2 linked regions of the Caenorhabditis elegans genome follow. The protein of the gene in region 2 interacts with the protein of the main gene of each other region in a pairwise test. Each region holds a gene or a part of one and is shown on either strand. Other genes may lie near its edges. The genes, in order: wip-1 and wsp-1.

What was found.
Region 1: the proteins of wsp-1 (region 2) and wip-1 interact in a two-hybrid assay, tested with the Caenorhabditis elegans proteins (one study listed by BioGRID).

The regions. Positions count from the first base shown.
Region 1 is NC_003281.10:5,016,757-5,021,620, forward strand, and holds wip-1 (WH2 domain-containing protein), read left to right. Parts: upstream 1-1,882; 5' UTR 1,883-1,891; coding exon 1,892-2,002; intron 2,003-2,049; coding exon 2,050-2,272; intron 2,273-2,467; coding exon 2,468-2,533; intron 2,534-2,627; coding exon 2,628-2,779; intron 2,780-3,082; coding exon 3,083-3,178; intron 3,179-3,437; coding exon 3,438-3,580; intron 3,581-3,706; coding exon 3,707-3,934; intron 3,935-3,982; coding exon 3,983-4,052; 3' UTR 4,053-4,364; downstream 4,365-4,864. Other genes in the region: larp-1 (La-related protein 1), read right to left, coding at 74-402, 507-894; mdt-11 (Mediator of RNA polymerase II transcription subunit 11), read left to right, coding at 4,470-4,607, 4,657-4,771, 4,820-4,864.
Region 2 is NC_003282.8:8,188,193-8,195,272, forward strand, and holds wsp-1 (CRIB domain-containing protein), read right to left. Parts: upstream 5,004-7,080; 5' UTR 4,961-5,003; coding exon 3,901-4,960; intron 3,326-3,900; coding exon 3,179-3,325; intron 2,942-3,178; coding exon 2,833-2,941; intron 2,785-2,832; coding exon 2,515-2,784; intron 2,062-2,514; coding exon 1,866-2,061; intron 1,818-1,865; coding exon 1,554-1,817; intron 1,509-1,553; coding exon 1,386-1,508; intron 1,331-1,385; coding exon 1,154-1,330; 3' UTR 712-1,153; downstream 1-711. Other genes in the region: pct-1 (Cyclin-dependent kinase 17), read left to right, coding at 1-33, 85-243.

The sequences.
Region 1 (4,864 bases), on a different chromosome or scaffold from region 2:
GAAGTTTCGTGTTTCATTTACAACTATGGCTATGAAAATCCGTGTTAGATTGAAAAAAAAACAATTAACTCACTGAATTTGATGGGGAGACATGTCCGTTAAGCTCGGCTTTCGCTAGAGTTGGCCAATCCTGAGTGGCAGCAACAGTGACTGTTTCAGTAACAGGAGCAGTTGCTGCTGGGGCTGTGGATGTTTTCCATGGCTCTTTCTTTGATTCTCTGGATTTTGACTTCTCTTTGATTGGCGCTGCTTGTTTAGGAGTTGGCTCAACAGCCCGTTTCTTTTCTGGAATTGGCGCTGAAGATTTCTGAACGACTGGAGTTGCAGTAATAATAAATTGGTCTGCGGCGGTTTCGGATTTTTGTTCCTTTTGAGCTGCGGCAGCTGCGGCTTCAGCTTCTTCTGAAACTATGATTTTTTTTTGGAAAACGTGAAAACCCAAGAACACTTTCAAAAAAGGCATAACCAATTCGGTTTATGAATATATAATTTTAAAAAAATCGCACCTTTGTTTTTGAACCAAGCGTTTATAGCCGGTAATGGAGCTGGTTCCAGCACAACAGGAATCTCAACTGGTTTCACCTCTTCTGTTGCTACCTTTTCAGCTGGTTTTTCGGTTTTAGTCTCTCCTCTCGGTTTTCGATCGCCTTTTCTGTTATTACGACGTTTTCCTTTTCCTTCACCTCGTGGTCTTTCCGAACGTCCACCAACATTTTCCTTTTCACGTCTGTTATGTGGTGGATGTGCCTGCTTTTCGGGTTGACTGTTTTCGTTTTGTGTAGAAGAATGAGAGCTATCTTGCGTGTGCTGAACCTGCTGTGATGGAGACGAAGCGTCTTCCGCCTGTCCAGAAACTACTTTTGCGAATGAGAGCATGGGCTGCTTCTCGGCCATCCGATCTTCTTTTCTACTTGCTGTTGATGTTAGCAAGTTTTTCTTACCTGGAAAAAAATATTTTGGACTGAATTGGCATTGGAAAATTTTTAAAAAACGTATTCCGAAGTGCGACAAAAAAAGTTGAATAAATTTACAAGCTAGAAAATGGAAACATGGAAGAACATACTATCCACTTTTTCGATTTTGAAGAACATCTAAATTTTTTAATGTTGTTCAGAAAGATTGTTCCGGTTTTTTCAACTTTCTGAAAATAAGACGGTAAAGAATTTTATCAGAATCGTTTGAAGTTTTGGAAAACAAGAAGACTATGGATAGAGTTAATACTTTCGATAAAGTTTTTAATCCGCCTGAGATTGTACCCTTGACGACAAATGGAGAGAACAGAGAAATGAGAGAAGATATTTAACCTTTAAAAAAGTGTTTGAACTTATTTGTTAGAAACCTTAATCAATGAAATGTAAAAGAGAAATCGCTTAAATTTAAATATTTGTCCAAAAAATCGATACTATTTTATTCTGAAATATTAAAAAAAACAGAAAGAAAGAAAGACATAAAATAGCGAAAAGTTCAATTTCTGCGTAGCGCCCCTATGCTTTACCATTGCACTAGAAGTTTACACACAGTCTGGGGGTACACACGAAATGCCCGGCAGCTCGCGCACCGAGAACGCGTCAATAACTAGCCCTCATGCGTCTTTTTGGTCGCCTTGACGCGATTCTCGTGTCCGCTGGTTTTGTTGTTTTGCCGAGTAAACACACGTTTTGAAGGCCAAGACGGGACAGATTATTTTTTTTTCAATTGTTTTTCTGCATGAAAGAAAGCAATGTTTCTTTACTCTATTTTCCCCGTTTCGTAGAAATTTCAATGTCTCCTCTTCCCTAGTTTAACCTTTTCTCAGTTTTGAAATAATCTTTCGATAAAATCAATGATGACTCATAAAAGTTTGTCTTATTAAAAGCGCTCATACTTCCTTAACTTTTCACTCTTTTAGATAATGCCTCCACCACCTCCACCACCGCCGCCTCCACCTCCGCCGCCACCTCCGGCTGCATCGGCTCCGCCACCATCCAGCAATGCTCGAAATGCTCTTCTTGGCGATATTCATGTGAGTTTAAAGTTTTTTTAATTTGTAAAAATAATTTAAATATTCAGAAAGGTTTAAAACTGAAAAAGACAGTCACGAATGATCGATCAGCGCCATCTGTTGGAAAAGTCGTTGGAAGTAGCGGATCTTCATCGAATGGAAATTCTGGAAACGGAAATGGTCCGGCTGCTAAACCTCCACAAATGTCTGGCGGATTAGGAGGTCTTTTTGCGAATGGAATGCCAATGAAACCAAGCGAGAATAAAATTAGACGAGCAACTACTAGTATAGGTATATCTAAGTTTAAACTTTTTGGCAATTTAACGCAATTCACAACAAGAATTTAAAGTACTAGGAAAATATACATTTCAATGTTTTAAAGTATTTTTTCTCGCACGGAGAACAAACTGGCAAAAAAAATTGTTTTCAGTGATATCCCTTTTTAAAATAACCGTTACCCATTATAACCCTCTATCCCACTTTCAGGACCCCCTCCAACCGCCTCATCAGCTCCACCAGTACCTCCTCCTGCTCCAGTTCCAGCTGTTGAAGGTACACATTCAGTTTTTGTTGTCGTTTTCCCCCAATTTTTGGTTTTTTCACTAATTCCAATTAACCCAAGTGAAAAAACAAATGTTTTTTTCAGGAAAAAAGCCATCGATTGTCTCATCATCTTCATTTTCTCATCATGGTGCCACATCTTCGGCTCCTCCTCCTCCGCCTCCACCACCGCCAGTTTCAGTTCCAAGCTCAAAACCGACTCCACCTCCACCGCCACCAGCTCAGCAGAAACCATCGGTTAGTCATTGAGAAATGATTTTTTAAAAAAGAAAAAAATAACTGTTTGGAAGTGCTAAAGAATTACCAAAATTCCGCAGAATAAGTCATCTTTTTTTCTTAATTTTATTCGTTTGTAAAGTTTTGCATGAGTTTGAAATTCGATGTTTACGCTTTCGAGAGATTGTAAAAAAATAAAATCGAAGGATTTTTAAAAAGAAACTTACAACTTGATATATTAAATTAAGCATTTCTGTGATTTGCTGTAAAATGTGAATTAATATTTTTTGTCCAATTGTATTTATGTTTTAGTGTTTCTGTCAGTTTCAGAGTGATCGTGAACAGTTCCGAACGATGAGACCTCTACGACCAGCAAATGATGTGAAACCGACAATGTATCGACGAAGTGGAAGTTCAGAGGTTTTTTTTGTTATTTTGTCGTTTTGCAGTGTTTAGTGGTTTTTAAAGTTTCCTTATGTTTTATTCTCCGGAATTATATTGTGCGCCGAGTCTTATAGACTCTGCGTCTCACCCTCTGACAATATGATAAGCATGAGAAGTTATGTAAAGGTAGGAAGAATCGTTTCGCAATAACTAGAAATTTATAATACCACTTTATGATCTAGTTATTTTGTCCAGAAAGGTAACACCAGATGAAATAATTTTTATTTAATTTCAGGATATACCGCAAGCGACGTCGGCAACCAGACTGGCACGTCCATTAGCTCCTCCGCCAGCTCGCCCAGCTGCACCACCACCGCCAGTACCAACGCCGTCCATAGCACAAATGTCCAGCAGATTCCAGTCGCCAGCGATATCACGGTTAGAAAAATTAACGATTTTTTGAATAACAAATAATTTTAAGTTAATAGTTTCGAGTAATTTCATGTGTATGTTATCAAATTGTTTTTTTTTAAATTAAAACCGGCACAAATCGAACATTTTCAGGACTCTTGATGATGCTCCCCCACCACCTCCACGAATCGCTTCAAAAACATCAGTTGCTCCAACATCATCTCGGGCTCCACTTCCCCCGTCTTCTTCATTTGCACCTTCAATTTCAGCATCTCCAGCACCTGCCCCACCTCCACCTCCACCGCAGGCTGCTTCACCGTATCCTGGAATGAAATCAACTGCGACTGTCTCAGCGAACGTTCCATTTCATCCACTTAACAGGTATTTTTTAAATTCATTTTTTTTTCTTCGCAATCTTTTAAATTATAGGTTCCACTTTCTACCGCTTTCTCAACTGCCACCACCACCTAAAGTTTCGTCTGGAAGTATTCGTGCCTGATTTGGTGCTGCCAAAATGCCTTAAACTATTTTTCTCATTCTCACAATGCTCATGACGTTTCTTTCCATCAAAATGTTTGTAAAACTATTGAAAATAGTCCGTCAATCCCCCAAACCCGTTAAATATAAAATTCCCACTGTGATTTGATGCCCCCATTTTCACTTTCCCCTCTTTCATTTATATCCAACGCATTTCTAAATGTGTACCACTCCCGATTCTATTATTTTCTCTTCGAATAACATAACCTGTTTCTAGTCCCATTTTTTCCTGGGTTTCTTCATGGTTTCTCAATAAATCTGTGAAAATTGTCATTCAACTCTTGTTTCTAACGAAATTTATTTGTTTTTATCATTTTCCAAATATCTTCACAAAACATATATGTTTATAAAATATATTTAAAACTCAAAAATTGCAGTTATGGAGCCAAACCCATCCGATCCTGTTCTAACAGATCGGATTCAAGCAATCGTGACGACTGAAAAAAGTATTGATGAGATGATGAAGTGTGCTCGAGAAATTATTCAAGATTTGGGAAAAGAGAAACAAATCGGAAAAGTTTGTTAAAATTTTGAAGTTAAAAAATATAGAAACATATTTCTTTCAGAATAAAATGGAAGATAATGCGAACAATTTCAAAAAACTGATAACTCAAGTGGAAAATGAATTGAGCGCTCAAATGCAATACTTATCGCATGTTTGTGTTGGATCATCACATCAAGGTATTACTCATTGGAAATTATTAATTTATTTCTACACGTACTTTTCAGGATCAACATTCGGTGTACTTCAAAACTCACTTCTCGCTCAATCTG
Region 2 (7,080 bases):
AAGCATCCGTTCTTGAGGACGATCGCTGTGAAGGTAAATATCAGTTCTAGATCGGAAGTTTATTGAAAATTCAACAAATTTCAGTGTTGCCACCTGCGAGATGAGCAATCTGTCCTAGAAGCTGATGGTATTCACATTGAAAGGGAACTTCTGGCATCAGATCATCATCACAGCTCTCGTCGTCATCATCGTGGAACTCTTGTAAAAGATAAATATCGAATGCATTCGAGTCATCACACTTAGAAATAATTTTCTCAACAAAAAAAAACATATTTAGAATTAAATTTGTTTCTTTTTTCCCCATTTCATCTCAGATTGTGTTGCACTTTTACGGGTTCTTGTCAACCAATTCCGATTCGTTTCCTCCCAACCAAAATGTCCTTCCAATGCGGTCACTTATAGATCAAGATGTTTATGAAACATGTTTCCTAATAATTTATTGTGTAATATTTTCTCTTCATATCCCGAGACTCCATCATTCTTCTTAGAATTTTTCCCGTTGTTTCCCGTAACCAGTAATAGCGATTTTCAAATTTACATTTTCTGTTCATAAATCACACAAAAATCTACAAAAAATCATCTCATAATCTCAATTTGTTCCCAAAAAGCACACAGAACCATTTTTTTTGCTATTTATTTTAGCCGTTATTCTTATTGTACACCTGTGAATAAACAAGCTCTACCCGGAAAGCTTCTACTTCTCATCGAATTGGAAACAAAAATTATTTATGTGGATACCCAGAAAAATGATAATATGCAAAAAAATTATGAGCGTTTCTGCTGTAAGTCTAAAAAGGGACAATGGTTTTGGATGAGAGGGGAGCATCACAGAAAAATCTACGGGAGAAAAACAAGAAGACTGGTTGAGTTTTAAAAGTTTGTTGGTATTTCGGGTGTGTGGAAGGGGGCTTACGAAGAGAAATTCACACGGAATAGGCACTGATTTGGAGAAAAAAAAAAACTAAATGCACAAGTTTTACAAATTCGTCACTTTCAAAATGTATGATAATTTATCTTGGAAATTGACGATTCTGTAATTTTTCAAATCAAGAATTGTACTTGAGGGACTAAAATTACCCTGTTTCACACGGGATTTGCACAGAAAAAGGAAACGAAAAATGGAAGGAAAACAAGTTTAATGAGATAATTTAGTCTAATCTGACCATTCATTTTTGTCATCTTCATCGTCATCATCATCACTAGTATCATCTATTCCCATATTCATTCGACGTTCCTCAAGAGCCTTTGCTAGTGCTCCAGCCAATCCTCCCATTCCAGCGGCTCCAGAAGTCGTACTCTTTCGACGTTCTTGCTCAGCAGCTGCATCCACCTAAAGTTTAAAAAAATTGGAATCAATAGTAATTTTCGGTTAAAAATTGTCTTACATGTTTTAATTGTGCTCCTTGTCGAATTTGGGCCATCACATCTCCACGAGCATCACCACCAGCCGATTTTGGTGAATCTGCAGTTTGTTGAACGGATCGAAGTTGTTTTCCAGCTTGGATTTCCTGAATACAAAATTCAATAGTGAACATTTTTAAAAGTATACTAACCGCTAGCAAATTCGATCTTCCATCCTGAGCAGGTGGTAGTTTTGCGAGCACCGATGCAGGTCCTCCGGCTCCTGAAGGTGGTGGTGGAGGTGGAGGGGGTGGAGCTCCTGCTCCTACTGCTGGCAATCCCATCGGTGGTGGAGGAGGTGGTGGTGGAGGAGCTGCGGATGATATCGGAGCCATTCCAAATGATTGTGGTGGTGGAGGGGGTGGAGGTGGTGGAACCGCATGTGGTCGATTCTCTGGGGTTCCATAGTTGGGCGCCTGAATATAAATTAATTTTTTTCAGAAAATCACTCTCCGGTTACTTACTTGAGGTAAAGGTCTTGATGGTGCAATTCCACGGGTACCAGATGACGGTGGTGGAGGAGGTGGACGAGCTGGAGCCAATCCATGAGATTCGACACGTGTTGGAGGTGGAGGAGCGGCAGGTGTGGAATATGATGAAGCACCGCTTCCAATCGGAGCAGATGATGGGAATGATGGTTTGTATTGACGCACTGGTGTTCTGAAAATTTTTTTTTCATTTAAAAATAAAACTTTTTTGTTATCGTATTTCTAATATGGCTGAAATACGCCCTCACCAAATGCAACACTAATTTCATTTCTAATATTTCTAGTATTTATATTAAATATTTCATAATATTTCTGGTTCTCAGCTACAAAAAACAGTAGTCGTAAAATATATTCAAGGGTTAACTGTAACAGAAACATATTACTTTTAACTTTTTTTGTAAGTTTGCGGAAAAAAAACTACATCGAAAGCATTTCGGGGGAGAATAATTGGGATTGCGTTGCCATTACTCTTTTTCATGGTCCGACATCTACCGGGTTTCGACTCACACAGCGCATATGCATGTATCTTCACAGGGGCGAAACCCAGTAGATGTCGGACCATAATTAAATTTATTTTTTCTGGTTTGGAGTTATTTTTTTCCGAAATGAAAACAAAAAAACTAACTGATTCCATGACTGATTCATCTGTGGATGTTGCTGAATTGGTGGTGGAAGAGGTGATGAGATTTGTGATGGATCCAAACTTCCAACAGATACATATTTATCATAGTTCTTGGCAATGAATTTTTTCACGAATTTCTTATCATCCTCATTCAGATTATTGCTTTCCAATCCAGCAGCCTTTAGAATATTTTTAGTAGCTTCATCCATATCATCGTCGTAAACTGTATTCGAGAATCCACTATCCTGATTCCATCCAACATGAGCTTTATGTCTGAAATATTTAGTTTAATTTAAACCATTAAAACGGAATAAATCTCACTGAAAGTTTGTTGGATTAGAAATATCCTCTTTCTTAATTTTCGATTTTTTATCCTTCTTTTTGTTTTTATCTTTCCGGAACCATGATCCACTACTGCTAGCATTTCCATCTGTAAATATTGAAAATATTTAATTAAAATTAATGTTATTTTTTGAAGAGATTTCTCACCAAATTTATGTAACAATCTTTTCAATTTATTAATCATTAAAATATGAGCAAATTTTGCAAAGTATGCATAAGAAATGAGATATAAAATGTGATTTTTTTTAAGTTTACGTAATTTTATTCAGAAATTCAATTACTGACTACGAGAACATCATTTTTCAATTTCCAAAAAAATATTCACCTGTATGTGTATGTGATTGTGGTGCAGCAGCCATAGTTCCCATTTGTGTTATCCCTTGACCTCCGCCAATTGCCATTGGAGGTCCTCGAATTGTTCCTCCATAAGCCTGTGTGATTTCGAATTGTCGTGTTGGAGTGGATCCGATTCCTGAAATAATAAATTATTAAATATAGAAGTTCTCACTGTCAAGTGCTCTGTTCTTTTTCATTTCAATTCGATCACCCAATCAGTTAAAAATCATCTTTCTCTATTCTCCAGCATTTCTGCTCAACAATGATGTTCATGTGCTCTGAGCGCTTGAAGCCGATCAAGTACTCGGTCGGCGGTGCTCATAACATGACATGAACACAAATAATCGGTCCGAATTTCTCGCCATCCTGGGTTGGATGTTTGCTTTCCAAATTTGTGTGAAAAACTCTTATAGAACCAGATTCTGTCTATCAAATTGATCAACTCAAAGAAAAAACGATAATATGGAAAGATAGTGATCAAGTAAACAAAAATATTATGATAAAGTGCAAATACACATCATGAGTTCAACTTGTTGACACTTCCTATACTTTTAGAAGTTTCGAAAAACTAAATTCGTTTTTAAATTTTCAAGCTTCACAAGCTGTGTAATTTTTGGGAGATTTTAAAAGGTTTTAGAAACTATTGTAGAAGAGTAAAAATGATGAGGTGAAGATTCAGACATCAGAATATTTAAAGTCTGTAAAACAAACCATTAAGCGAAATTGATGTCGAACTAGAACTTTTCTTCACTAATCGATGCCTTGCAGGTGGATGAGATGGAATTGGTGGTGGAGTATCTGCTTCTACAGATGATGGTGTTGCACTGCTACTCTCTGTACTACTATCACTTCCTCCAGAACAGTAGATAGGTTCTTCTTTCTTTGTGACCATAACAGATACTTGACCATTTGATCGATGAACTAATACGGAATCAGAATGAGGTGCAGGATCAGGATTCATCGATACTGATTCATAATCGTCGTCTTCGTCACCGAAGTCATCCGTATTGAATACGTGTCGAGAACTCACATAGTCACCACGAGATACTGGTTCTTCTGGGATATGAAATCGTACCTTATTTCGAGAAAGTGGGGGTGAATAGTCTGGATCAGGACTCGGAGCTCTATGTCGACGAGGTTCTTGATGATGATGTGATGATCGATGACGAGGTCGGAATGCTAGCTGCTGTTGTTGCTGCTGATGATGTTGCTGTTGTAGTTGCTTTTGTTGATTGTGATAGTAATAGAATGCATCAGCAGATATTGGAACATAACATCTTGCATAGTTCTGACGCCTTGCATATGTACCTGTGGATCCTCCATACCTTGTTGAATATACTGGATCTTGGTATTCTGCAGATGAGCTTGTTGAGCTTGACGTGGAATCAGGACCTCCATAAGTCGAATAATCATTTACATTGTCATATTGTTCCATTTCATAATATCCTCCATTTGGTAGAGTATGACTCCGATGGGTAGTACGAGGTGAGGATCCCATAGAATCAGGGAAGCTAGAGCATCCTCCACGTGCAAAACGTTGCATATGGTTATGGTGAAGATGACCGCCAGTACCGGAAGAGGAAGTGGAGGATGGAAAGGACGAATAAATTTGAGCCGCCGACGAAACGGTTGACGGTTTATTGGACGACGGATTGGTTGTCGCAGACGGTGGCGGAGGGTGGGAAGGAGGAGGAAACGATTGAGCGACCGGCAGGTTGTGGTACTGATAGCGGAGGCGGCCGGCCGGATCCTCGCTTACCACCATCCACATGTTATTATTCTTCGAATGGCTACTACTTCTGATACTTCTGAAAGAAGGCGAAAAAGATCGTCGCAAATTATGGAGATGAAAGCGAGAGAAAAAAGAGTATATGGGAAATGTCGAAAGGTGACGTTTATGGAATCGAAAGCTGTGAGAATCGGAATTTTCAGGTCATAAAATGAAGGAATGGAACAAATTCACTTGAGATATCCGAGTGATGTGTGAAACAATTGAAAGGAGAGATGTATATAAGGGTTCCAAATTATACCTCTAGTTGACTTCGAAAATGGGCATTCCAAAAAATGTTGCATATTTACGCAAGCATAATTTGTAACATCCTATTCTTCAAAAAATCTTGCTGAAGTCTGATGAAAAGTGAATTTGGAAAAAAAAACGTTTGCATTTCTAAATCTTTTAAATTGCCATGACTTTCTGATTGGCGTACAAGCACTTAGTGATTCGAACGGATATTCAGAGAATCATAGAAACAGAACGAAATGAAAACCGTCATAATACACATCATTATTGTATACCGTTTCGCCTCTTCACACCGTTCGGCTTCTCTCCCTCTAATTTTCTCTCTCGCCCAATCGTTTCGATTCGGAATCAAATTACACAACACACTACCACAGTTTGGCGGCAGTGAGATGTGCATATTGACAGAGGAAACAGATGTAAATATTAATTGAATTCCTAACAACTATCTATTTCTATTCAAAAAATGATATTTTTTACATATTCCAAAAATTTTCCATGTAAGAAATGAATAGTAAAAGTGACCGAAATGATGGGGCGAAAACTGTGGGGAGGTGAACTGAAGCACTTCTCTTCTCACGAGAGTTAGGCGGAGTCAACACCGATGAGTATGTGTATGTGTGTATGTGCTGCCCTGAACCTCTAACGGAGAGAGTCTCAATATAGTTAAACATTAAAAAACTGAGAAATAATAAGATAATGTTTCTATTAGTTTGTGACTTAGGTGTCAATGTGTGGCTACCAGAAATACTTTGTAAGAAGTATCGTAATTTTTTTCTTGAGTTTACAGTACTTTTATAGTAAACGAGACACCGTTCTTAAGGGTGATCCTTCAAATTTAAAACAGCGGTAAGACTGAAAAAACTAAGATTTTACTTTTTTGTTTGAAAGCGTGTACTTCAACACAAAAATTATTCAATCATCGTTTGACTACTGTCACACCCGCTAACAACAACACGTAGGAACAGCTACACCTCTAGACGTCAATAATGACATTCGGAAAACGGAAGGAACAGCCAGTTTCACTTATTATTAAATAATTTCTACACTTTTTTCACATCTGCTTGTGTTCTGTTAACAGATTTTAAAGATATACTATGTTTCAAAAATAACCTGCGCCAAATACAAAACTATATACGAAAACCTAATTATAACTTCCTCTCAAGTGTCGACTTCTCAAAAATTAATGCATGAACATAATACAACCGCATAGGATTGCTGCAGAAGAAGAGATGGAGACTTGAAGCACTATTGTAAAAAAGAGAAGAAAATAAAAAGTATGAAAACCTTATAATTGAACCAGTGCTCGTTCTTTGTTCAGATTGAACATTGTAGAGCACAAGGCACGGGTAAGATCACGTAGATCTCCATTGAATCCTGTACTCGTCTTGTCCTACTCCTTGCTCTTTCAAGTGGCCCGCTTTTCACATGCGTCGATTGAAAGTGGCTCATGCTTTAGAGGAACACAAAACTGAGATTCATGATAGGTCAGAACAAATTTCTATTTTTTCAAATAGAATTTTATAGATTGTAAGCAATATAACTTCGAATCAAGTGACACATAATGACATATCGTATTGTAAGTTAGGAATACAGTAGACTACAGTAAGACCATTCCGAGATATCAGGTACGTTTTAATAAGTTTCAATTTCAACTTTTTTTTCCGATTATCTATTATAGTAAATGACAATTTGTATTAATTTCAATGGATTGGTCATTTCAAAAAATTACCGCTCCAGAATAATAGAATAGAATAATACGATCGAGATCAAAAATAAGACCAACAAACGTCGAACAATTTTCGAAGAAACCAAAAGTTGAAAAATTGGAAAAGTTGAATAAAAGTCGATAAATATGCCAATAGACTGTGATA